Linked DNA regions of Rhinolophus ferrumequinum. The protein of the gene in region 3 purifies or fractionates together with the protein of the main gene of each other region. This does not show direct contact. Links are inferred from orthologs where the notes say so. Each region holds a gene or a part of one and is shown on either strand. Other genes may lie near its edges.

Region 1 (7,885 bases), on a different chromosome or scaffold from region 3:
TCCTCAGAATCAAAGGAGGGAAGCAAGATGGGGTTTCACATTAGATGTGTAAGCTTTCACTTAATAATTTCCCTGGTTTCAGCACTGACCCTCCTGCATTATGTAATAAACAAACAAACAAACAAAAATGGCAGTTTTAAAAAGAGTTTTTGAAAACAAAATGTTCTAAAATTAAGCATATCATAAACCAAACTCTTGTTATCCTCCCAAACCTTCTTTTTCAGTTTGCTCATCTCGATAAATGGCAAATTTATTCTTTTGGTTCCTCAGGATAAATTTGTGAATCACCCTTCACCCTTCTTTCCCCCCACCCCACACTTACAATCAGTAAATCCTCTTGGCTCCACCCTTAAAATATATCCACTTCTCACCATCTTGTGCAAACCACCATGATCTCTAGTCTACTGCAGATTGTTTCACTAATATTGATTTTTGATCCATTGCCAGTAAAGAATCTATTTTATCTGTTTGGACTAATAAACCATTACTTGCCTTTGTTTTTTTCCTGCCATAGTTTTCTGTTCTGGACCTGACCACAGTTCTCTGAATTGTGGTACCTGTGAGCCTCCTTCCGGTCTAATCACAGTTTTGGATCTCACTACCTTAGAACTGCCCTTCACCAAATACAGGGAGGGAGGGCACTGACCGTGAGAAAAAGAAAAAAGCAAATGCAATAAACTCTCTGCCAACAATTCTGTCTCAGGCCATACAAATAATTTCTCAGAAAATAACTGAATGTCACTCTGCTGGCTGTTTCCCCATTTGTCCTCGGACCCATTCCTCGCCCTTCCCCTGTTCTGCTCTGTACTACAGGGCTCTGATCCCTCTAAAATCCCGTCCCAGGCTCTTTAACAAGAGCCTGAAACAGCATTTACTGGTTTCTAATTAGGATGGACCACTGAGGAAACAATGACCAGAGACTGAAGGGTGAGAAGTGGGAAAACCAGTATATTTCTCCTCCTTTCTCTCTGTGGGTTGTGTGACATCTCAGGCAGGGGTCCATCTCTATCATGGTTCCATCTCTCTCCAGGCCTCCTAAGCTCTGGTTCCACCCCTTTGTCCCTCTGGCTGTGGGAGCAATATCTGTTTCCTCTGTTGCTAAGCTCTATGTTGCTTCACTGACCTCTGATTGCCTTCTCAGGTCTCCTCTCATGTTTAAGATGAGTCTCCCCACGTTAAATTTTCTCTATTAAAATACACCAGTTCTGTTTTCCTGCCTGGACCATAACAGTAGTGCCACGTTTCAAATTCCCACCTTATGCTGTTAATACTTGCTCTAGGTTTATGCTTATAACCAGACTTTACCCCGCAATGCATTGCTAATATTTGTTTGCTTTCATATCTACTCTGAAAGTTTAAAATAAAATTGTCTACCTTCTATAAAAAGTGAAATATTTTTAGAATCACGTAAGAGCTTATTTTTCAAGAGCAGACATAGCAGCTTCTGTTTTGGCCAATACCTATGGAGTGTTGCATACTGAGCGAGACACTTCACCAATATTTTCTCAAATCTTCACAATAACCTGCAAGATAGTTTGTGGGGACAGAGCCAGGAATGCAGTTTCCAGGCTCTCGGCCTCACGTGGAAAGGTGCTGGCTCAGGTAGTAAATGGCCATCAACTGTGATTGGATGGCCATCAGCTGTGGCTAGTTGGCTGTCAACTGTAACACTGTAACCAGTGAGCCATTGGCCACTAATATAACTGCCGTGGCTACGCTAGCAGCAGATGGGGGCTAGCAAGAAGATGGGGGCTGAGCTACCAAGCGGTGGAGTGCAGTTAGCACAGCGGATTGCAGCTGGTAAGTGAGGTGGGTTGGCAGAGAGACAAGTGGATGGCAGGTTGTGGATCATGTGGCTCCTGCTTCCTGTGTCTCCAACCCAGCCTCCAGCAAGACTATAGTGGTGTGACTCCTCTATCTATGGCTCCGTTGGTGTTCCTTTTTGGCCTCACTGTGTCCTGCGTTCTTGTGTTGGGAGCGGGAGCTGAGACCCAGCAGGCCGCTATGCGTGACATAGTTACTACTCCCTATTTGTCAGAGGAGAAAACTGAAACACAGAGAAGTGAAGTAACATGACAAGATTATGTAGCTCCTAAGTGGTGAGACTTGGCTTCACATTTATATCTGTCTGTTAAGAGCGCTTTCCACTACCCCACTCCATTTGCTAACACACTCCATGCCGACCTTCACATTAGTCAGTATTTGCTAATCCTTGTGATGTTCATAAACACAAAAAGCTTTTATTTTATACCTACATAGTGCTTTTAGGACCACATGAAAGATATAGGAATGTAGGAAATACTATGTACAAGCATAGGGAACTGACTGTGTCTTGATTAGGTACGTTCTTCACATATCATTCCGACTGTTATTTATAAACTTGAACCATGGAAACAAAATCTAATTAAGTCGTTAATTCTATCATGTAAAAGCAATCATGTGTTTCAATATCCCTTGAGCACCACAATGAAGTTAATCCAGAACAGGTACTTCCATTTATTCCACAAAATACGGAGAAACAAAACCAAAGCAGCTGTTTTGCCTAATTACTGAACCTCTGTTTTGAGTAGAGGAAGCTGCTTCCTAAGAGAAGCCGCCACTTTTAGCAAAGGAACATGGGCTATAATGGAGTCAGGCCCCTGGCACCACAAAATTTAAATCCAAACAGCATCCCACTGCCTTGTTTGCTCACAAACATGAGGGCGTGCACACACAAGTTTGTACATTATTTTCCAAGCACCATGTCCAAAGAAACTAAAATGGAAACTAAGTATGAACCAAAGAAGTGCTGAGGCTAGGATTTCAAGTGAGAGTTAACAATAAATGAGGAAAGAATAGATTTCATTTGGAATAGAAAGTATAACATGATCCTACCTTTCTCCTTTTTGCTGCTAAGTCCTTGAGACCTGGCATTCATCTTCAGTAGGTTATAAATCCTCAGTAGGAATTTGGCCTAATTTCACAAGTAACATTTGGGTATGTCCAGATGTAGATTTGTACTTTGTGGATTTTTCTGTGACAAATTAACATCCCATTCTGGTTTCTCATTGCTGCCTGACATTCACTGTTGCTAATTCCTTCCAGTATTGGCTGCTATATGTTAAGAAATGACAAGTGAATTATAATATATAGTTGAGTAAAAAACAAGCACCCTATGATTTCACCCCCCAATTGAAAAAAACACGTCACAATCAACAATCTTACACATTTTTTAATACAAAAAAAAAATTCTTGGGTCATCTCCTGTTCTAAAAATACCTGTGCTCCTGATCCCTATAGTAGCATAGATGATCAGAAATAAATTTTATATCATTGCTTATCCCAATGCAAAGTAAAGGTACTTGGAGTTTAGGCCTATAATATTATATGTGCCTATTCTCTTTATTGATATTTTAATTCAGTGGAATGATTATTGATATGTACTAGTCCAAGCTTGAAAAGCATGCATAAAAAGCTGTATTTTAAAAAAATTTAGCTATGTTGTGAGAAACATTCTTTCAAATAAAAATTAGCATGAATCCCAAATCTTCTCAAGTTATTTAGCATCAGTAGTTTAAAAAAATATGTAAAAATAAAAACAGGAGAGCAGCAATCACTACTAGTTCATCATTTAAATGTACAATTTAAAATAGAAATGCCTAAGTAATTATGCAGTGCATAATTGTGGAAAGTATTACATTCACCAATCAAAATTGGTCCTGGACCACCAAAACAGTGGTTCTTAACTACCTTCATTTATTTACATGGTGCTTTTCAATTCAAGGTGCTATGTAAATATAAGGCATTGATTTTATACTAACAAACACACCACCATCAGCATGAAACAGACCTTGCCTGTGAAACCTAAGAGACCCCAGCAACAAATGTGGATTCTTTGCCTGATGATCTGAGTATTCTAAGTCTCTGGTTCTCAGACCGAGTTCTGTAGAATCTGAAGTTTCTAAAGAGGCTCTTTAGGGGCTCACAAATATTTGACTAGAATTTCCCCTTAAAACTATGACTATGATTTTTTCAAAAAATCTGAAATGGTATAACCACTATATAAAACAGTATGGCAGTTTCTCAAAAATTTAAAAATAGAATTACCATGTGATTCTGTAATTCTACCTCCAGGTACACACCCAAAAGAATTGAAAGCAGGGGTAGAGATATTTGTATATCCACGTTTATAGCAGCATTATTCACTATAACCAAAAGGTGGAAGCAACTCGTGTTGTTGAAGGATGAATGAATAAACAAAAGATAGTATATACATACAATGGAATATTATTTAGCCTAAAAAGGGGGGGGGGGAATTCTAACAAATGCTACAATACGGATGAATCTTGAGGACGTTATGCTAAGTGAAATAAGCTAGTCACAACAAGACAAATACTGTACGATTCCACTTATATGAGGTACTAGAGTAGTCACATTCATAGATCCTGAAAATAAAAGGGTGGTTGACACAGGCTGGTGGGAGAGGGAAATAGAGACTTGTGATTTAATGAATATAGAGTTTCCGTTTTACAAGATGAAAAGAGTTCTGGAGATTGTGTGCGCAACACTGTGAATACACTTAACATTTCTAAAACTGTACACTTAAAATGCTTAAGATGGTAAGTTTTATGTTATATGCATTTTACCATAATTTTTTAAAAATCTGAACTTTCAAATGTATTATATAGAAATATCTGGAGGTCATCAACAAATTGATACCTGTGCTACCAGATAATTACTTTTTATATACATTTCAGAATAAATCTTCCCCTGACATTTGTTTAATTTCAGAGTGTCCAGAATGTCGAGCTATTAAACACCTGCCAGGATGTGGGTGAATCAGAATGTTTTCCACACTTTATAGACCAAACAAATCCAGGCATAAATTATATGTTAAGGCCATCTATAAACCCTGATTTCATATTTGGGCTAATTAAAACAGCCTCCTTGTTCTTGCTGATTGACTTGCTAAAAATAAATGCTATAATTTGACATTATAAATTAAATTCACACTATAAAACAACTCATCAAAAGATTTTGTTTGGGAAAAGGCAAACAATCCCATGGCTAAAGTGTATGGAAAGTGTTTTCTCTTAAAAAAACTATTGAAACATGTTTAGGGTAGCAAACAAGAGGAAGTCCATTCTATATGTAGAAATTTTTCATTGAGGAAAAAAAGTATGAAAATGAATACAATAGGAAAATATGAGTTGATAGGATGGAGAAAAATAAGAAGTTAATAAAGCTTACAGTTAAATCATCTAGGGCAAATGTCTATAGGTATAGCTAAATATATGTGTGCGTGTGTTTGTGTGTGTGTGTGTGTGTGTGTGTATATTATCTACAAATTAAAAATATGGAATAATAGCTCTCAAAGCTTTCATAAATGGGGTTCAAGATTCCTCTTTTAAAATCTATTCTGTTCAAATTCTATTTCTCACTGCAAGATATTTATTTACTACAGAGAGAAAATATAACCTCATGGAAAATAACCATTGATAAGCTAATCCAATATGCATGACTAATTGAGGAAAAAAATTTAATGACCAGACAGAAATGATATGGAGCAAAAAAGAAAATAATACTTGCTAACACACATTATTCTATCACATTAGAGATAAACATCTCTTGAAGCCTCAATAAAGATGTTTGTCAATGTCTATAATATCAGACTAAAATTTTTAAATTGTTTAGTAATAAATCTTGCAAAATTGAACCAAGAAAATACAACATGATATACTCATCCCTCACTCCTACAATATCTTTTTAAAAGTCTGTGGGCTTGGTGAATGATTTCCCCAGTAACACGGAAAATTAAAAGTTTAAAATTATTCTTTACTTATTTGTGGTTATGGTGAGGTATTAAGCAATCAAAAGGAGGGATTGTTTTTAAGAGCTAGACAAACAGAGGGAGAAGGGAAACGAACCAGAATTCCTGGACCATGAAGCAAAACAGCTTTATGATGTGGTTTTAGCACACTAAGACCTGCCTGTTTTATTTTTCCTAAGAATAGAAATGGAGTGCAGTGTCAGAACAGTAAAAGAGGAAGTACATAGCTTTAAATATGAATTGTAGCTATTTTTTGCTTATTTACAGAGAGGAATGTTAAGATTGATTTGAGCACCAAAACTTAACGATTTGAAATAAAACATTAAATACACAGCCATCTGACAAAGATTCAGCACACGATAATTATCCACCCATAAATATAAAAATATCATATTCCTTTTTTTACTAGTTTCAGGTGTACAAAACAGTATAATAGTTAGACATTTATGATTTATACCCCTCACAAAGTGTTAACCCCCTCCCCCAATCTACTACCCCTCTGACATTGCACACAGACGTTACATTTCCACTGCCTCTATTCCTTATGCAGTACTCTGCTTCTTATGACTATATATATATATTAAATTATAGTTGACATTCATTATTATTCAGCTTCAGCTTCAGGTGTATATCACGGTTATCAGGCATCTACACCGTCCCTAAAGTGGTCTCTCTAATAAAACAGATGTCCATCCGATACCCTATAAAATCTTTACAGCATTATTGATTATATTCCCCAAACTGACTTTCGTATCCCCATGGCAATCTTGTGGTTACCAATTGTACTTTCTAATCCCCTCACCTTCTCCTTCATCCTCACTCCCGCTCCCATCTAGCAACCCTCAGTTTTTCCTCTATATCTCTGAGACTGTTTCTGATTAGTTTGTTCATTTATTCTATTCTTTAGATTCTGCATATAAGTGAGATCATATGGTATTTGTCTTTCTCCATTTGACTTACTTCACTTAGCATAATGTTCTCTGGGTCCATCCATGTTGTTGCAAATGGTAAGATTTCAATCTTCTTTATGGCCGAGTAATGCTCCATTGTATAAATGTACCACAGTTTCTTAATCCAGTCATCAACCGATGGGCATTTTGGTTGTTTCCATGTCTTAGCTATTGTGAATAGCACTGCAATAAACACAGGGGTGCATAAATTTTTTCGAATTAGTGTTTTGGATTTCTCTGGATAGATACCTAGGAGTGGAATTGCTGAGTCTCAAGGTACTTCCATTCCCAGTTTTTTGAGAATCCTCCATAGTGATTTCCATAGTGGCTGCACCAGTCTGCAATCCCAGCCGTGCACCCTTTTCTCCAATACCTCACCAGCACTTGTTGTTTGTTGATTCATTGATGATAGCCATTTTGACTGGGGTGAGGTGATATCTCATTGTGGTTTTTATTTGCATTTCTCTAATGATTAGTGAGGTTGAGCAAAAATATCATATTCTTTGAGGAACATTCTACAATGGATTGGAAGCAAGTCATATGCTACCAGCCTTTGAATGTCCTTTAAGTCGCAAGTTACTAGAAATATGTGATAAGCCCAGAAACCATGGATCATATTAAATTGAAAAGTGTCTAGAAGAAAGGCATTCATAATGGAATTAATTAACACTAAAAAAGAAATTTTTTAGAAGAAAAATAATACTGGGAGTGCCAAGAAAATGTATACAAATGGACACTTTGGTCAACGTTGCACAATAGTTCGCTATAATCAGAAGTGTCTGGACACTGATGGTAACCACTTTGAGTACCTCTTGTAATTGCAGAAATCAAACGTGACTTGTAGTCATCTTTTGTTATTGGTATATATTGAGTATTACAGTTTTAATACAATTTTCCTTTCTTAAAATATGTATACATGTTTTTGGCACCCTCTGTATTTAAAGCTTAGCTGCATTAAACAGGACTACAAACAAAAATCTGCTTTAAAATCGTTACCCATAGAGTTATGTATACTGCTATAAAATTTGAGAACTATCATCCATGATAAGGGCAGGATACAAATGGATCCTTCATTTTTATAAAATATACTAAAAAAATAATAATATTTAGGTCTCATAATGACTTT
Region 2 (7,720 bases), on a different chromosome or scaffold from region 3:
TTAGCTTTGCTGTCTCTTTGCAAACCAAAACCACCATAGCAAAAACTCCTACCATTCAACTCACAACATATTCCATGCCTGAGTCTACGGATCAAAGGGAAGAAAACAGAGTGGAGATTTTTAATTACAGACCTGAGAAACCTGGTAAACAGTGGAATGTGTTCATTGACATAAAGATACTTAATGTGCAAAGAATTAAGAATTGCAGGCAACATTTTATATGTAGCCTAAGGTTTTGTTTTTTTTAGAATCTGCAACTCTAGCAATGTCTCAAATAGGCACTCATCTGTTGACTGCTATCAGCCTAAACATCCTAAAAGAGAAAAAAAAAATCTTTCATAACTTAAAATATTATTATTTATTTGCTGCAATTTCAAGCCTTGATGATAGATCCTTCAGTTGGCCAAAGTAGTTACATAGTATAGAAATAAATTCATTTACAGTCTACCTTTCACAAGCTAACTCTACACTCAAGTTCCTCAATTCTTGTTCCCAATTTTTATCCTACGTGCTTCAGAAAGTTTTCTGCTACTTAGCAAACTGGCAGGACTCAGAGGTCAAAGACCTAAAATGCTAATTAAAACAACTCTTATTTATTTTTAAAAAAGGAAGGGATAAAAATGAGAAGTCAGGAGTATATTTTCCTGGAAGAGGTTGGTGATTGGGGATCCTTGCACAACTAATCACTACCAGTTGGAGTACAAAGTCACAGTAGCAAGCTTAAGTTTAGGCATGGCATATTAGTCCAAAAAAGGGATGACTAAATTATTCAAGTATATTTACAAAGCTGCTTTATGCTCAAATCTTCAAATTATTTGAGAAGAAAATGGCTTCACTCAAGTATTTGCAGAAATTTCAAATACTTTAGATATCAGACCGTCTTCACATTAAACCTGTCTTCAATCAGTTAAAAGGTTGGATTCCAATCGTTGGGATTATTTAACAATTCTTGTTTCTTCTTAATTAGGTGTGACAAGCTATTGCTCAAACCACCACTAGTTAAGAAATAAGACTTACTAGTGGGCTGTATTTCTGCCTTGTAATCAGCAACTATACCTGCTTCTCTTGTGTATGATTTTACAAACCTCTGTCTGCAGAAAGATTATACATCATATGCACTTCAGTGTGAGAAGCCTGTGTTTTCCCCCACACCCAAGGACATTTTTCCCCTAAACCTACACATTCATTTACACCCCACTTGAACAGAAGTAAGCACAGCAATTAAAATTTAGATTGAGCATAAACAATAACTTCTCCGTGTCCATTAGGTCACTTAACATTTTTTTAACCTTTTGTAAAATAGTGTTCCATTACTTCAGATAAGTTATCTGAAAACCATAGATGATTGAAGAAAAGGCATTACTTAACTCATTTTCTGAGTAAAGATTATTCATTACATTTCAAGACTTAAAAGGAAAAGAATTTCTTGCTGATGCAAGCAAAGGTGATAATACCTGTAAAGAAATATGAAATTATGTTACTGATACATTAAACCTTTTTATTAACAAGAATCCTTAATGTATGTTATACCAATGGGAAAAAAGTAAATAAAATTAGCCTTCTAGTGGTAAAGTGTCCGATAGCCAATAGGTCACTAGTATTAGTGTCATGTCAAACCAGTCTCTTTTATCATTGTGAAATTAGCTCTTCAGAAGATTGAGCTGAGGCAAGCCTCTTTAAGGGGTATTTCGGAAGAAAGCACATTAATATTAATAAATTATTTCAGCCAAAGTGAAACCAGGATTGGTGAACCAGGGAAATCAGCTCAGAAAAGGCTTAATTCAGTCAAACCTTCCAATGATCACCTGCCTGGGCCCTCCCTGGGCATGTTGCCAGATAAGACAGTATGTTGTCTACAGGATAACGCACCATGGGGAAGAATTCTAGAACCTACGAAAAGGAAGCCAATTACAGGCCCAAAACCTTGCATATCTCAGAGCAGGTGTGCTTTATCCTCAGGGCTTGATTTGATTCCAGCAAACCTGAGGGAGGTACTCACGCCCACAACTACCTGCTACACTCCAGCAGACCCCAAGATAACCTCTCCATAACCCTTCCTACCTTCCAGAACCAAAGAGGGGATTGAGGGCCATTCCATGCCCAGGACTCAAGAGAGAGGGGAAAAAAGGCGAGTTCCCCTAGGGACCTTGACCCCACGCACTCAGATTGACACCGCCCTGAGAAATACGTTCCTCCATTCTATCCTCCAGTTCCTTCAGTGACCTTCTGTTCCTACTGCCTCGGGGATGGCAAGAGGCAAACCACCGCCGTTCCCCCCACCCCCAGGGGAAGGTGCCTTTCCCAGATGAGAGCCGCAAAAGGAAGGAAGAAAAAGATTGCTCCTCCCCAACCCACCCGCCCTACAACTCCTGGGTGCAGACACGTTGGGGGAAAAAGAGCAATGGGAGGTGACAGCCCTGCACTGACCTAGGCGATGAAACCCTTGCTCCGGAAGAAACACGGAGAATTCCCCCCGCTCCAACCTATCCAAATGAATGAACTGAATAAAACGGGGAGAGGGGTGGAGTTAGTATGCGCAGTTCTTGCCATCCAGGAAGCGAAGACAGAAAGGCCCTCGAACCCACGACAGGCCTCGCGGCACTTTGCACCCCGACTCTCGTCCTTTCCATCCAAACCCCACATCACTTAACCCTTTAAGCTTTCCAAAATAGCGCCCCCATCCTCCATCTACCCCGGACACCGACAACCCCCACCCCCACCTCCGATTCAGCTTTTTGCTTGGCCTAGACTCCAGCTTTCTCCTCCTTACCACCCTCTCCACAGCCCTGACCAGCCAGGGCCCAGTCGCACCTGAAGATGCTCCTGAAAACGAATTGGCAGAATCTGGGCCATGGCGCTGTCGGGGGTATGGTCTCCTCCTGTCACTGGGGCTGCGGGGCAGTGGCTGCCCGGACTCTCCAAGGGAGAGGAGGAGAAAAGGGAGGGGGTAGGCTGGGCTCAGCAGGATACTCTCCGGGGACGCAGGAAACTGGCAGGCAGACGAAAGAGCTCGGGTCGGGGGCGGAGGCTCCAGGGTCCGGGAGAGCCGCAATGGCGGAACCGGGCGCAGCGCAGACTCCGGAAACGGCTGAGCCCTGCGGAGGGATCCCGGCGACAGAACTCCGCCCAAGTCACCTCACCCCCTCCGTCTTATGTACCCCTCCACGGAGCGCCGCGGTGCTGCGGGCGCAGGAATTCTGGACGCAATGCGCTGTGGGACTCGCTTACTGCTGACACATGAGGGGAATTGGAGGAAGCGAAGGGACTACTTTTTTGGACTCATCACTTTCCCCAGCCTCCGGCTTTTCCCTCCCTCCTTTCTTTTTTTTCTTTTTTTTTTTTTTTTGCATTTTGCCACATCATGCGACTAGGGGCGACCGACGTCATTTCCGTGGGCGCTTTAGGTCCCACCCACGTACTTCCGGGTGCACGTGATGCTGGTCAGGATGGGTTGGCTGATTGCTGCCAGAATGCAGAACGAGTTCTAGAGAAATGTGGAGTCTCCTGGGAATGCGGTGGCTGTTGGACCGCCTTGAGGAATGGTGGTGCTGCTCCCGTTCCCTGTGGGTCCTGCCTATTTAAACTGAATCCCTTACGAAGAGAACGTGGAGTGGGCAGATGGGCCCAGCCTCCCGCCCTCTCCGTGACTCAGGGAAACGACCTCCCTGCAGAGCGCTTTTTTGGCAGCTGGCTGCAGTTCTCCCCCGCCTAGTTTCATATAGTGGGTGTTTTCTTACATCTCAGGGACGGGGGAGTGAAATGGGGTTTAAAATCCTCCCTGCCCTATGCACACCCTTCTGACGGTTGGAGAGACACGCTTGGATTCTTAACTAAGAGCTAGCAGTCTCTTCGGATGTTACTTTAAAAAGTGGCTCGAAGGACAGTGAAGGCCATTTCTGAGGTATCTCAAACTGGCCTTGTGATAGCTTTTAACGTTTCTGCGGACATTTTGGCGGACATGCATATCGGCCTAGCTTAGTAATACATTTTTTGGTGTTAAAGGGTTTGAGTATCATAAATACGCGGAAGAACTGGACCAAAATTGTAGCAGGAATCTTTTGGCCACATCAAATCACGAGACTCGGAAGATTTAGATAATTAGGTTAAGGGTGGTTTGTAAAACCTTAAGGTTCTTCCTCGGTGTGGCTAATGAACACTCTTGGAGAAAGGGATTAACTAACTATTGGCAGGGCCACCTCCACATTGCTTATAAATTAGCACTGTTTGGAAATGTAAGCGCTTCAAAGCAGGAGTGTCATGTCTTTCTAACAGCATTAATGTATCTATGGTATTAATTAACGATTAATAACCTTCCCAGTACTTTATTGCTAAATTGTAAGCTGTAATATTTCATACTAGCACAAATACAATGACAAAAAAAAATTTAGTTCCGTGCCTTTCATCTTGATAAGAGATGTGATTATTTTTCCAGAAAGATCTTGAGGAAATACTCAAGTATACAGTGATTTTTAGTGCCCTTCCCAGTTAAAAACGTAGAACACTATTAAGTATGCAATGATTTTGTGTGTTAAGCAGTTTTGCCTAGAGAAGTTTGCTTCATCATTTAAATTGCTTTGTTTTTTCCAAAATATATGTCACATACTGAGGATGAGGGAAGAATCTTTGGCAGGTAAGAAACAGCAGAGAACGTTCTGCAAAGAAAAGCCTTGCCACCATGTCATAAGAGTAAATATTTATGCTTGGCAAAATTTCATTTTGTTAAGCCAAATACTTGAAGATGTTCTGTATTCTGCAACATTGTAAATGACCTTCCTAATACCAGTATAATAGCTACTTTCAATCCTTTCTGGAAATAGACAAATTCTAAATTAAAAATCTATAGGACTTATTGTTTTATTCCAGTAAAAGCTATAGCTTAAGAAACGTTTCCAATTATAATCTGGGATACAAATTATATCATGAACAAGCCACTGAAATTTATTAATAACTTGTGTTTTCGTACAGACCTGTGTAATTTTAACTACATTTAGAATCCCCAAAGGAATTGATTTTAGCTTGGATATTTGGTGGGCAATATCTAACCAAAAGTGCACTGAGGTTGTGTTAAAGTGACTGCTGTGTCATCACACACAGAAATCTAGTGAATGCATAGTTCTCAGAAATCATTTAGGGAGAATAAAAATAGATTACAATATACCCGCTCATTTTGAACACTGTATACTTCAAATCAAAAAATCCAAAATTTTTCAAGAGAAAAAAATGGTCCAGATGGTAAAAAATTGAAAAACCAAAATTGCATTTTAAAAATCAGTAATTTTGGCTGAGGTAATAAGAGCTTTGTATGGTAGTATGCTGTTGTCGCTAAAGATGCAGAGGCAGGGAAAAAAAGATTGTCAATCCTTGGTTTAGAAGCCCCAAAGGCTGAGTCACTATGAACAGTTACCTGAGCAGTAACTGAAGGGCTTTGTTTTCAGGTACCATATTAAGTTAGAGAAGAAAATAAATAGCCTAATAAACCAGAAAACAAATGCTGGGGGTTTTTCCCCCCTAAGTATGACAAAGTCTTTTAATAAGAGTACTACTATAAATGTATCATCATCCTTTGGTTTCAGAAAATGGTTTAGGTAAGGTAGCCATGTTTAAAAAATGGTCCAAGTTCTTTCAATTTGAAGCTATTTTTTTAGCAGAATATCCTTGCTCTGAGTCACAGCAAGCACCATTAGCAAAAACTGCATTGTTCATCTATTTTAAGGCGTGCCAATTTCTCAAAACCTTTTTTATGTTTTATGCCGATAACTATAATACAGGTTAACCTCACATGAGAATGACACCTCAGAAAAACTTATCATTGTCGAAAGTTCCTCTGTATTATTCATCTTCAAGCAGTCCCTGAATTAAGGTCCCTGCTGTTTAACTTGACCTTTTAAAAACAGTGTGAGCTAGTTGCATTGCAAAAACCACAACGTAAAGGCATTCCTCAAACATTAAGAGATTAATTTTAAAGCAGAACTTTAAACCTAATCCACCAGTACCAAATATTTAAAATTCAGATTTTAGCAAAACCAAACAGGATATACTTTAGCATTACCCAAGTAAGATAAGTGGTTTTGCCATTTAAACCGCAGCTTTGAAACATCTCAGCCCTCTAGGGCCACTGATACGAATCCCAGCAGGATTAAATCAAGGGCAGTACATCAAACGCACAGTAAGTGGCTCAGGTATCAGTCAACATACAGTGCTCGCTTTATTTTAGCCCTGTATAAGGCACTGATTATAGGCAACGCTCACCCAAAAGGACACAAAAAGAAAAAAAATTTTGTGGCCTTTTTTAGAATGAAATGTTCTCGAACTTAACTCGGATACTCAGTATCATTCACTCAGGCTTGCCCTAAACCTAATTTACATAGACAAGTTTATAATGCTTCAAAGATGGCAATAAGATCTATAGTGAATCTTTATTCCATGTCAGGATAGCCAAGACTAGTCCTGTGGGAATACGGTCTGGAATCTATTCATATTACACAGGCCCCTCGCATGTTTTCTAAAGGTTAAATCAGAGGCCAGCAGAGGAATAAAGCTTATAATAACACTACCTTACAAAGTCATCTCAGGAAGGTTGGTTCAAATATAGTGATAGAGCATTGTGGACAGAAAACCCAGAAGTTATAACCCTGCTGATCAATAGGGGATCAAATGCCACATCACAACATCTCTTTTACAACCAAAAACAAGTCACAAGAAGCTTGAGAGGATCTATAGAATGAAGGGCAATGAGGCTCAAGGCGTGGGAATGATTGTTAAGGGCTATTTTTTTCCTCCTTTCTAAACATGTGGAACTGTCTTTTCACTTTCTAGAGTTATTACTGTCTCCAATTCAAAATAAGGCATGACCCACAAACGTGTTCTCTCAGTAATCTTAAAATTCTGTCACACTCCAGGGGTAGGTACTCCCATCAGTGGCAATGTACACATATGTGGCCTTGTTATGGTAGTAAACTCTACTTCAGAACAGAATGGCTAAGGACTGAGATTTGGTAAAGTTTTCACTAACTGAATAATAGCAAAGTTTCAAGGAAGTGTAAAATTGAATTTACATGGTCAACAAATACTTTTCAGTACAAAAAAATGAAAAATAATGTTAAAATCTTTTGAAAAGGCTTTTCAAAAAAAAAACGTTTTATGTAGGGAAAGCAATTATGAAACTTAAAAAGGCCTCAGGTTCATCACTGTGATGTTTTTGTACAATACTCCTGCAAATGTTGCCTGGTCCGAGTATGTACCAAATTTAGAACACACTAGAAATGACTTTTTAAAAATTGCCTTAGTAACATGTCATGACTGATAAAAGAGGATCATGTAAAATAAACCCAAAACCGGGTTATTTTCTTTTCCTGGTTGCTCATATTCCAAATAATTGTGAGTTTAATGTATACAATCATACAACTACTATTCATTACACTCCAGTAATGAAAAATATGTAGTATTCATATGAACCTACCTCATGGTTATTGATTTAAATTTTATTTTTCTTCTTTGAACCAACCCTGTTAGCACTAAAAGGCATGAAAAATGAAAAGGTCTCTTCAGGTTAGATGTACCAATATACAGCTTTCTACAGGGTGAAAATAAAAATCTGATAAAGACAACCCTTTATCATCTCTATATTTTCAGATTATCTAGCTAACCATTAGATCAGTTATAGCTAACTATTAGATCAGTTGATTACATGCCCCCTGCCTGAGGAGGCCTTAAAAATTCC
Region 3 (7,900 bases):
TTGTGTATATATGACTGTTCCAGATCCCTTCACTGGCGTCTGGGTGTAGGTTTTAAATTTTTATATACATACATATATATATACATATATATATAATGTACAATATATACATAGGACTGTAACTACTTTGCTTTTAATAATTTTATGAAATGGCAAAGGTTTAGCCAAGAGGAAACCTTGGCATGAATGTGGGCTTGGAATTCTTTTTTCTCCTGTGGTGGATAAATCTGCCTTAAAAATCAATGTAACTTGGGGACTGGGGGCTTGTTCTGGGTGCCAAGTGCATCTCTTTATAGACAGCTAAAATGTGATTTTTTTTCCAAACTCGGTTGTACCTCCAGACCCATCACTGACCATTTGCCTTACCTGTCTTATAGTCTGAAATGTAATAGGAAAGATTATGGGAAGATGCCAGTTGACTGAAGTGCAAACCTTTCAACTTGAAGTGACCCAGGTGGGAGGTGATAAAACCGTTCCCATCTTAGAATTATTGTGATGGCTTAGGTGAACTTAGTACAGGGTTCATGCCAATTCCTGCTATACAGGTGTCCATGTCTCAAAAATTATTGTAATCATTGGTACCATTGGCAGCCTCAGCAGGGGCCGAGGAGTTTTGTGAGCCCTGGCAACATAAAACACCTTGGAGACGGCAAAGCTGTCAGTGCCACCAGTTGAACTGCATATATTGTGAGTTGACCCAGAATCTTTGGTCTGCAGAACGAAGAGCTGGTATCTTCCATTGGCAGCATTCGCTTAGCCGCCAAGTCTTCACAGGTCCCGCTGCTAGTTGCTTGGTGGCTGTGGATGATGAACTTCGCCCGGCGGGATTCTTGGGTCCATCTCATTGGCTCCCCTGGGGGGCAGATACACCGTGTTCTACATACCACACATGAGTGAATTGCAAAAAATAGTACTCGATTCTCACGTAGGTTTATTTATGCGCGTGTGTGAATGTGTGTTTTAATTATGTGTATTTAACTCTTTAAAATCTTAGATTTTAATTTATCCTGTAAATTTCTGTACATATAATTTAATAACAAAAGCCTCCACCAGCAACAGCATGTGGAAGATACAGACTTGTTAATTTCTTCCCCCCTTCCTTCCTCTGGCCTCCTCTGAAAACTCCCATCTGCATTTTAAGGTATCATGCCTCAACAAGGTATCATTATGTAAGGATTCTAATTCCTTATAATTCAATAATGTCAAGAAAGTAAAATAAAATGGAATGTTTCCCTTCCCAGCTGCCCGTATTTCCAAAGAACCAGACTTTTGCTTCCTAGTCCCAAAGAAGACAGTTGAGCGCTTCAGGGTTGTTTTTAAATGTGGTGTGAGATTCCCTGCCAACACCCAGCTCTGAGGTAACTGTGCTTCCTTCCTGGGGCCTGGATGGAGCTCCACAGCATCGAGGTGGATCATTGCGGACAGGGCAGCTACGCTGCATCTTACTTAACTCCTTCCCTTCTCCCGACCGGTGGGGTCACCGGGCTGTTTCCTAAAGGTATTCTTGCTGCTAAATGCCTTTCTCAGCTCAGAGCAGTTCTGAGTTTTAATGGGGGAAACAGAAGGAAACAAGAATGTCTGGGAACCAAAATCAAGAAAAACAGAAATCTTGTTTTGATTTCGTGTGTTAGAACTTGTACCACGCCTCATCTGTACCCCTGGAAGTTTCCTGTTTGACACAGGGTGTGAAGGAGGGGCCTTGGAGACATGGATTAATACGGAAAGAAGGCCAGTCCTACCATTGTCATTTGAACACATTAATGAAATCCTGATGAGGACCTGTTTTTTGTTTGTTTTCCTTTAAAATCCAATCCTATTGTATTTGTATTTAAAATTTGTACACATTTGTATAATAATCTGTATCTTGTGGTATTTGGTACTATTAGAGGAAAAACTTTGGATTCAGACCTTGCAGTTTTTATATCATTGTTTTATTTTGTTTTTTAAATAAATTCTAGCGGTTTGATCCAAACTCCATTACAGTTGTATAAAGAAATAAAATTTTGTACTTATATTATTAAAAATCACATTTTTAATATTTGTAGTCCAGTCTCAGCTATCTTTTCCCTGCTGCCAACCAAAGTTGCTCCAAAATTGTAAAACCTGTTTTCCACACTATATCCTACCATAATTATCTTAAAAAGAAAAAACCCATCTAGAATAGAGGTCAAGTTTCTGATCTTAGCCATTTTCCTAACATACACCTTCCTCTGTTTCTATTAATATTAACTCTGACGTTGTGGAATCTCTCATGTTCTCTCTTTCGCAGATTGCAAGCCCAGTGACTCTGATAAAGTGTAGTTCTGTTCACTGGCAAATAAAATAGTATGTACATTACAGTGTTCGCCTAGCTCAAGAAAATATTCATCTGTAAGGTTCACATCTGAATCATGTACTTAATGTGATATATTTCACACAGTTTCAGCACTGTCCTAACTTGGTGGTATTGGATAAGTCACGTAATCTTTATAGGTGTCCTAAGTCACATCTGTAAAAGAGTGTTCATGTCACTTCCTTGTCTCCAAGCCAGCAGCCAGCCAACCTGACATGAATGTTTAGAACTATTGTGAACATTTAATATATGGAAATTTGACCTTTTTCAAGGTAAAAATTTCAATGCAAACAAGGTGTTACTAGTCATAAAGTGAAATATTATGATTGAAAGGCTAACGTACAGAGAGGCAGCAAGAAAGACATCACCATATTGCTGAATACTATTATAGAGAATGACTTGCATATTTTCTCTCACTTAATCCTCCCAAAAGCCTTTTGAGTATTATCCCCCTTTACAAATAAAGATGCAGAAAAGTACTTTCCCTAAGGTTATACAGCTAGTAGTAGACGGTAGCGCCAGAATAAGCACACTGTTCAAACTGACCCCAAAGCCTAGGCTCTCTTCTACCCAAAGCCACTTATGTAATCCATCAGAATCCTCCGTTATCTACAGTACTGAGTGATTGTAGGAAAACTATCTGAGACTGTTTCTTTGTTCAAATGCCCTTTTGTCCTAGGTGGATTTTACGATAGAGGCCTCACTTTCTTGTCATACTATTGTCTTTAAACTTTATTGGCAAAGTATCTTGATTTTTGTCTAGTAGCACTTACTGGATATGATAGATGACATTGCATTTAAGCAATATGTCAGTCTTAAGGGACGTAAGCATTTTTCCCTTTGAAGGTAAAAGGAAGGCATTTGATATTCATAAAACACTTAAAAGGTAAAATTAAAATGGATTTTTTACTAAATGACTGTTCCTTGCAAAAAATTTTTAAACATACTTTTAATCAGTTTTGTACTAAATATTTTCCATTTATATTCCTATCGTTTGTGTTGACAAAATCCACACACTTCCATTTCTAACTGAATAGATACACAGTATTCTGTTTGCATGGAGTTAAGATGATTTTACTCCGCTTGGGGGGTATGTGGGTTGTTTCTGCTTTTTTACTATGAAGGATAAAACTTACAGTGGTTTTATTCTTGGCAGTAAAGCCAAGATCTTTTGCCCATAATCACTTTAAACCAGAGTGATGCAGGAAAGCAGGAACTTCTGGTAAATCACCACCCAAAATAATGGAAGAAGCCAAAGGAAGTTCATGCTAAATATACGCCATACAACCAAGCAATATTCTTAAAGGAAGAAAAATATGTATGTTACCTGACATGACGTTCATCTTAAAGGTACGTGCCCCCCTCCCATAGTCCAAATACCATTATTGAAAGGTAGATGATTTAAATTTTCTTGTTAGTCATTGTGCTAGACAATAGTGGTGAGGAAAGGAGACATAGTATCCCAGCCCTCATGGAGCATCTAGACTAGTGGGGGGGAGGGCATTTATTAAAAGGATGGGCATTATTAAAACACTTCAAAGCACAGGAGTACGTGACTCCCATAAAGTTTTTATATTGTGCATTAAAGATGTCAGCCCTCAAACAGGTTGACATCTGTTAAACACGTTAACACACAGAAGTGATTAAGTTCTAATTTAGGTTTTCCATCCTAAATTTGTGCACAATTTAATAGGCTTTCAAATTTAAGAATCACAAACATCGTGGTCAGTAAATACTAAAGCCACTAACTACCAAAGCAGTGGTTATTGTATCTTCTGGTGTGCGTGTCAGAAGAAAAAAAACAACCAATAGGTCAGATCTAATGTGCAGGCAACATCTGAAACATGGCAGGACAGGAAGGTTTAAGGAGATACTAGAATCACAAAGCTGGGGAAGGCCTTTGGAATCTTAATTCTTGAGGTCCACAGCTGTACTTCGGCGACCCCAGAAACTCCCTGAAGTTAAATTGTGTCTCTGCCTTTTCTCTTCAGAAAGGCTCATGGCTTCAAATTCTCAAAGGAGCCTGTGACCTAAAAAAATCAGAGTCCTCGATCTAATTCCAGCATCCAGAGAAAAATGGAAACTCACTGCTTGAATCACACAGTAAATGGCAGAGACGTGCCCTGCTCGTGGCTACATCTGTGTGCTTTCTACCACCCTGGGCTCTAGCCCGTCCCAAGTTGGAATTCATTGAGTTGTCTCTCTGTCAAAGGATCTCAAACCCCTGGACCTCGACCTCAGATAGGAAGAGTTCTACCAAGGCAAGGAGACAACCGGCCAAAGAGGCGTCAACCCCAGCGGAAGGTGAGGTCCCAAGAGCTAAAACACGTAAGAGTGAGAACTGTAGTCTGGGCTTGCTCTGCAACCTTCCCCAAGTCATTTCTCTGGTCTGGGACCCGGTTTTCCCGGTGTGTTAAGAGATCACTAGGCCACGCCCCTAAACCTTAGAAAACGTCGAGGGCGTGGCTTAAAGGTCCAAGCTCTTTACCGCGCTACGCTGTGCGTGACGTCCGCCGACACCGAGTAAGCCGCAGTGAGGTCACCGCCCTCCTTCTCAGTGATCCCGACCCTCCTTCTCAGGGGCGGGGCCTGTGGCCACGCTCCAGACTCCCTCCGCCCTGCCCCCACCGGCGCCACCTCGCGGACCATCCGGCGCGTCACGTGACGGGTCGAAGGCGCTGGCGGTTGCTGTCAGCTGATTCCACGGGTTGGTGGCAGCGGCAGCCGCAACGATGGACTTTCTCCTGGGGAACCCATTCAGCTCTCCGGTGGGACAGCGCATCGGTGAGTCCCTGGAGTCTCGGCCAACCCCGACGCAGGGCTTCGCGCCCGGCCTCGGTCCCCGCGGGGCTCACCCACGTCCCCAGTCACACACCGGAGGGAGGCAGGGAAGGGGAACGCGCCTGGCGCGTCTCTCCGAGACTTGGCCCCGCCCAGTCTCCCGCCCATCTTGATTGACAAAAGCCTTGGTCCATTAGGGAGCCTCGGATTGTGATGGATACCTGTCACAGCCAATAGACAAAGAGAGAGGGCGGGTCCGCCCGCGGCTCAGCCAATGCGCGGCTGCTGGGGTCGCGAATACAGGGAGAAAGTTTAGACGGTTAAAGGGACTGCCAGCTTTCGCAGTCCTTGGGGTGTTCCATTTTTTACCTCTGCGCGTTCCCAGCTGGGGTCGCGCAGCCTGGGCTCTTGCCGTCTCCTTCCTGAGTTGCCAGGCTTTCCGGATACGGATACCTGAGAAGGGCTAGAAGTTCATTCTCCCAGGATCAGAGCTGGGCGTCTGGGCAGCTCTTCTCTGGCAGTCCTCAGCCACCAGCGTCAGCTCTCCCGCATAGAGTTGCCGGCGCTCCGAGCTGCAGTGATCTTAGAAACCACCTGATGGGGCCTCCTTTATTTCTCAGTAGCTCGGACAGCCCAGCACTCTGGCCAGAGACACAGGCTTACTCAGAGCCCAGGTCTCCTGACTCTCTTACCCCCTGTTGACGGGACACGTACTAGTTCAGTGACGCTGCCTCTCTGTGCCGATGTTTCCTTCCCTGTAATTAGCGGATAATAAAGGTCCCTACCTCCGTGGGGTTGTTGTGAAGATTAAACTCATTAATAAATGTAAAGTACTTAGAACAGTGCCTGCCAATGTTCTATAAAAGACAGTGGTAATATTTATTGTCAGTGTTACTGAGATGCCACCAAGGGAGGCTCGGGAGTCCCTGCAAACGGCGAGGTCGTAGCTCTCATAGGTACTCAGTCCTGCCTGCACCACGGGAGGACCCACGGGCCCTCCCAAACAGCTCACACTTCTCCAGGGAGTCTGGCTTTGTCTCCGTCTTTCATGAGGAAACCGCAGGCAGTACTGTGAAATCCTCTCTTCATCTTTTTTGATAGTTTAAAGCCTGAAACCCAGGTTGGGAAAATTGGATCTTTTAAATAAGACATTCTTTCCATTCTTAAATGTCTTGGAAGCCAAGCCTAACTTAAGTCTGTCAGCCCAGCTCTGTGTTGTAATTGTCACCGTGGCTGTTTGTGGCTCTTCTGAGGTTTTGTAATCAAATCTCTCCAACAGGGGTGTGGCCGTAGAGGATTTACAAATCACCAGGAAGCTCCTGGACCCAAGAGGGGAAGCTGTCCTCTCAGGACCACCAACACCCACCCCCTGCGGCTCCCCCACACCACACACACACACACACACACACACACACACACCCGGGTCATTGTTTTAGAGCTGAAAAGAAGGTAGCTCTCCTTTCATCTTTCTTTCTTCAGCTACAGATACCACTGCTTTCATCACATGCCAAGTTTGAGACTTAACTACTTAAAACAAAACTCTGCCCTTCTAAGTCAGCCTATAAATACCTGAGGCTTTCTTGAAAAGCTCACCTGAACTCTGGGCCTCAGATGGTCAAAGAAAACAGCTTCTCTTTTTACCCTGAAAGGGTTGCCTGCCTTGGGTAAGAAATACTCTGTCCAAAGAGAATGCTACTAAATCATAATACATTAGAGCACAAACCAAGTTTCACTGCTGGAAGGGTCCTTACCCCGGGGCTCTTCTAACCTAAAGTTCTCCTCTGAATCCCCTGGAGATCTTATTAAAGCACCGCAGGCTGGGCCCCACCCCCAGAGCTTCTGACTCTACAGGTGTGGGGTGGAGGCCTAGAATTGGTATTGTTAACAAGTTCCCAGGGGATTCTAATGCCACTGGATTGGAAACTGCATATTGAAAACCTGTTTCAGTCCATCGTCTTCATTTTACGAAGGAAAATGAGGCCCAGAGAGGGGAAGCTAGAGACTGTGACTCACCCAGGACCCCGGTGAAATGATAGGAAAGATGAGATGAACTCCCCAGAGCCACTGAACTTTAGAGCAGAAGAAGCTCTAAAAGTAGAATTAAATGAAGAATATCTGCCCTCGGTATTCCATATTTTTCTTTTAGATAAAGAGGCGGAAGTACCACCGATTGGCTGTGATTATTGATGACCTAATATTAGCGGCTCGTATTTCTATAAACTACCCGAGTACAATAATCTCAAGCCTGCCAACTCCATCCCTTAGTGAGGGTAGAGCCCTGTAGACTTGATGTCCCTGAACTCAGTGGATTCTGACGCTGTGTTGGGAGGTTGTTGTGTTGTGTTATGAAACATGTGCCCTGGTACCTGCCAGACAGTAAGTGTCCATAATCGTTAGCCATTGTGATTTTTCACTGGTGTGATCATCATTGCTGGGGCACACTCTAAGTTAGTGGCAGAGCCAAGGTGCCAACCAGGGCCCTGATTGCAGTGCAGCCTCTGTGTTGGTCGCGGCATCATTGGGAACGAGCAGTGACTGGCCGGCTGGCAGCCATATTCACAGACAGGTCAGGTTTCAGGCTGTGGGGTGGAACCGGTTCTCACTGGGGAATTAGAGCCTTTGACTGGCCCTACAGCTAGAACTGGTAAATAGGTTTTGTGAATAGGTTTTGTTCCCTCACTGAGTCAAAGAAATAAGAGTCAAGTCCCGGATTTCCGCCCTTTTGGATTTAGAAAATAAAAACCGTTAGTGTCTTCTACTTAGCCTAGGGCCATCACGCCATGAGAA

The links.
Region 1: the proteins of TOM1 (region 3) and ZFYVE16 purify together in Homo sapiens (affinity purification with western blotting; 3 studies listed by BioGRID and IntAct, with this or other methods). This does not show direct contact. The link is inferred for Rhinolophus ferrumequinum from reciprocal best matches to the Homo sapiens genes TOM1 and ZFYVE16.
Region 2: the proteins of TOM1 (region 3) and CLTC purify together in Homo sapiens (affinity purification with western blotting, with the first as the bait; 3 studies listed by BioGRID). This does not show direct contact. The link is inferred for Rhinolophus ferrumequinum from reciprocal best matches to the Homo sapiens genes TOM1 and CLTC.

The regions. Positions count from the first base shown.
Region 1 is NC_046290.1:51,760,259-51,768,143, reverse strand, and holds the start of ZFYVE16 (zinc finger FYVE domain-containing protein 16), read right to left. Parts: upstream 3,085-7,885; 5' UTR 2,875-3,084; intron 1-2,874.
Region 2 is NC_046304.1:26,489,058-26,496,777, forward strand, and holds the start of CLTC (clathrin heavy chain 1), read right to left. Parts: upstream 3,067-7,720; 5' UTR 2,854-3,066; coding exon 2,812-2,853; intron 1-2,811. UniProt on the Homo sapiens protein: Clathrin is the major protein of the polyhedral coat of coated pits and vesicles. Two different adapter protein complexes link the clathrin lattice either to the plasma membrane or to the trans-Golgi network.
Region 3 is NC_046293.1:11,036,185-11,044,084, reverse strand, and holds the start of TOM1 (target of Myb1 membrane trafficking protein), read left to right. Parts: upstream 1-4,843; 5' UTR 4,844-5,064; coding exon 5,065-5,116; intron 5,117-7,900.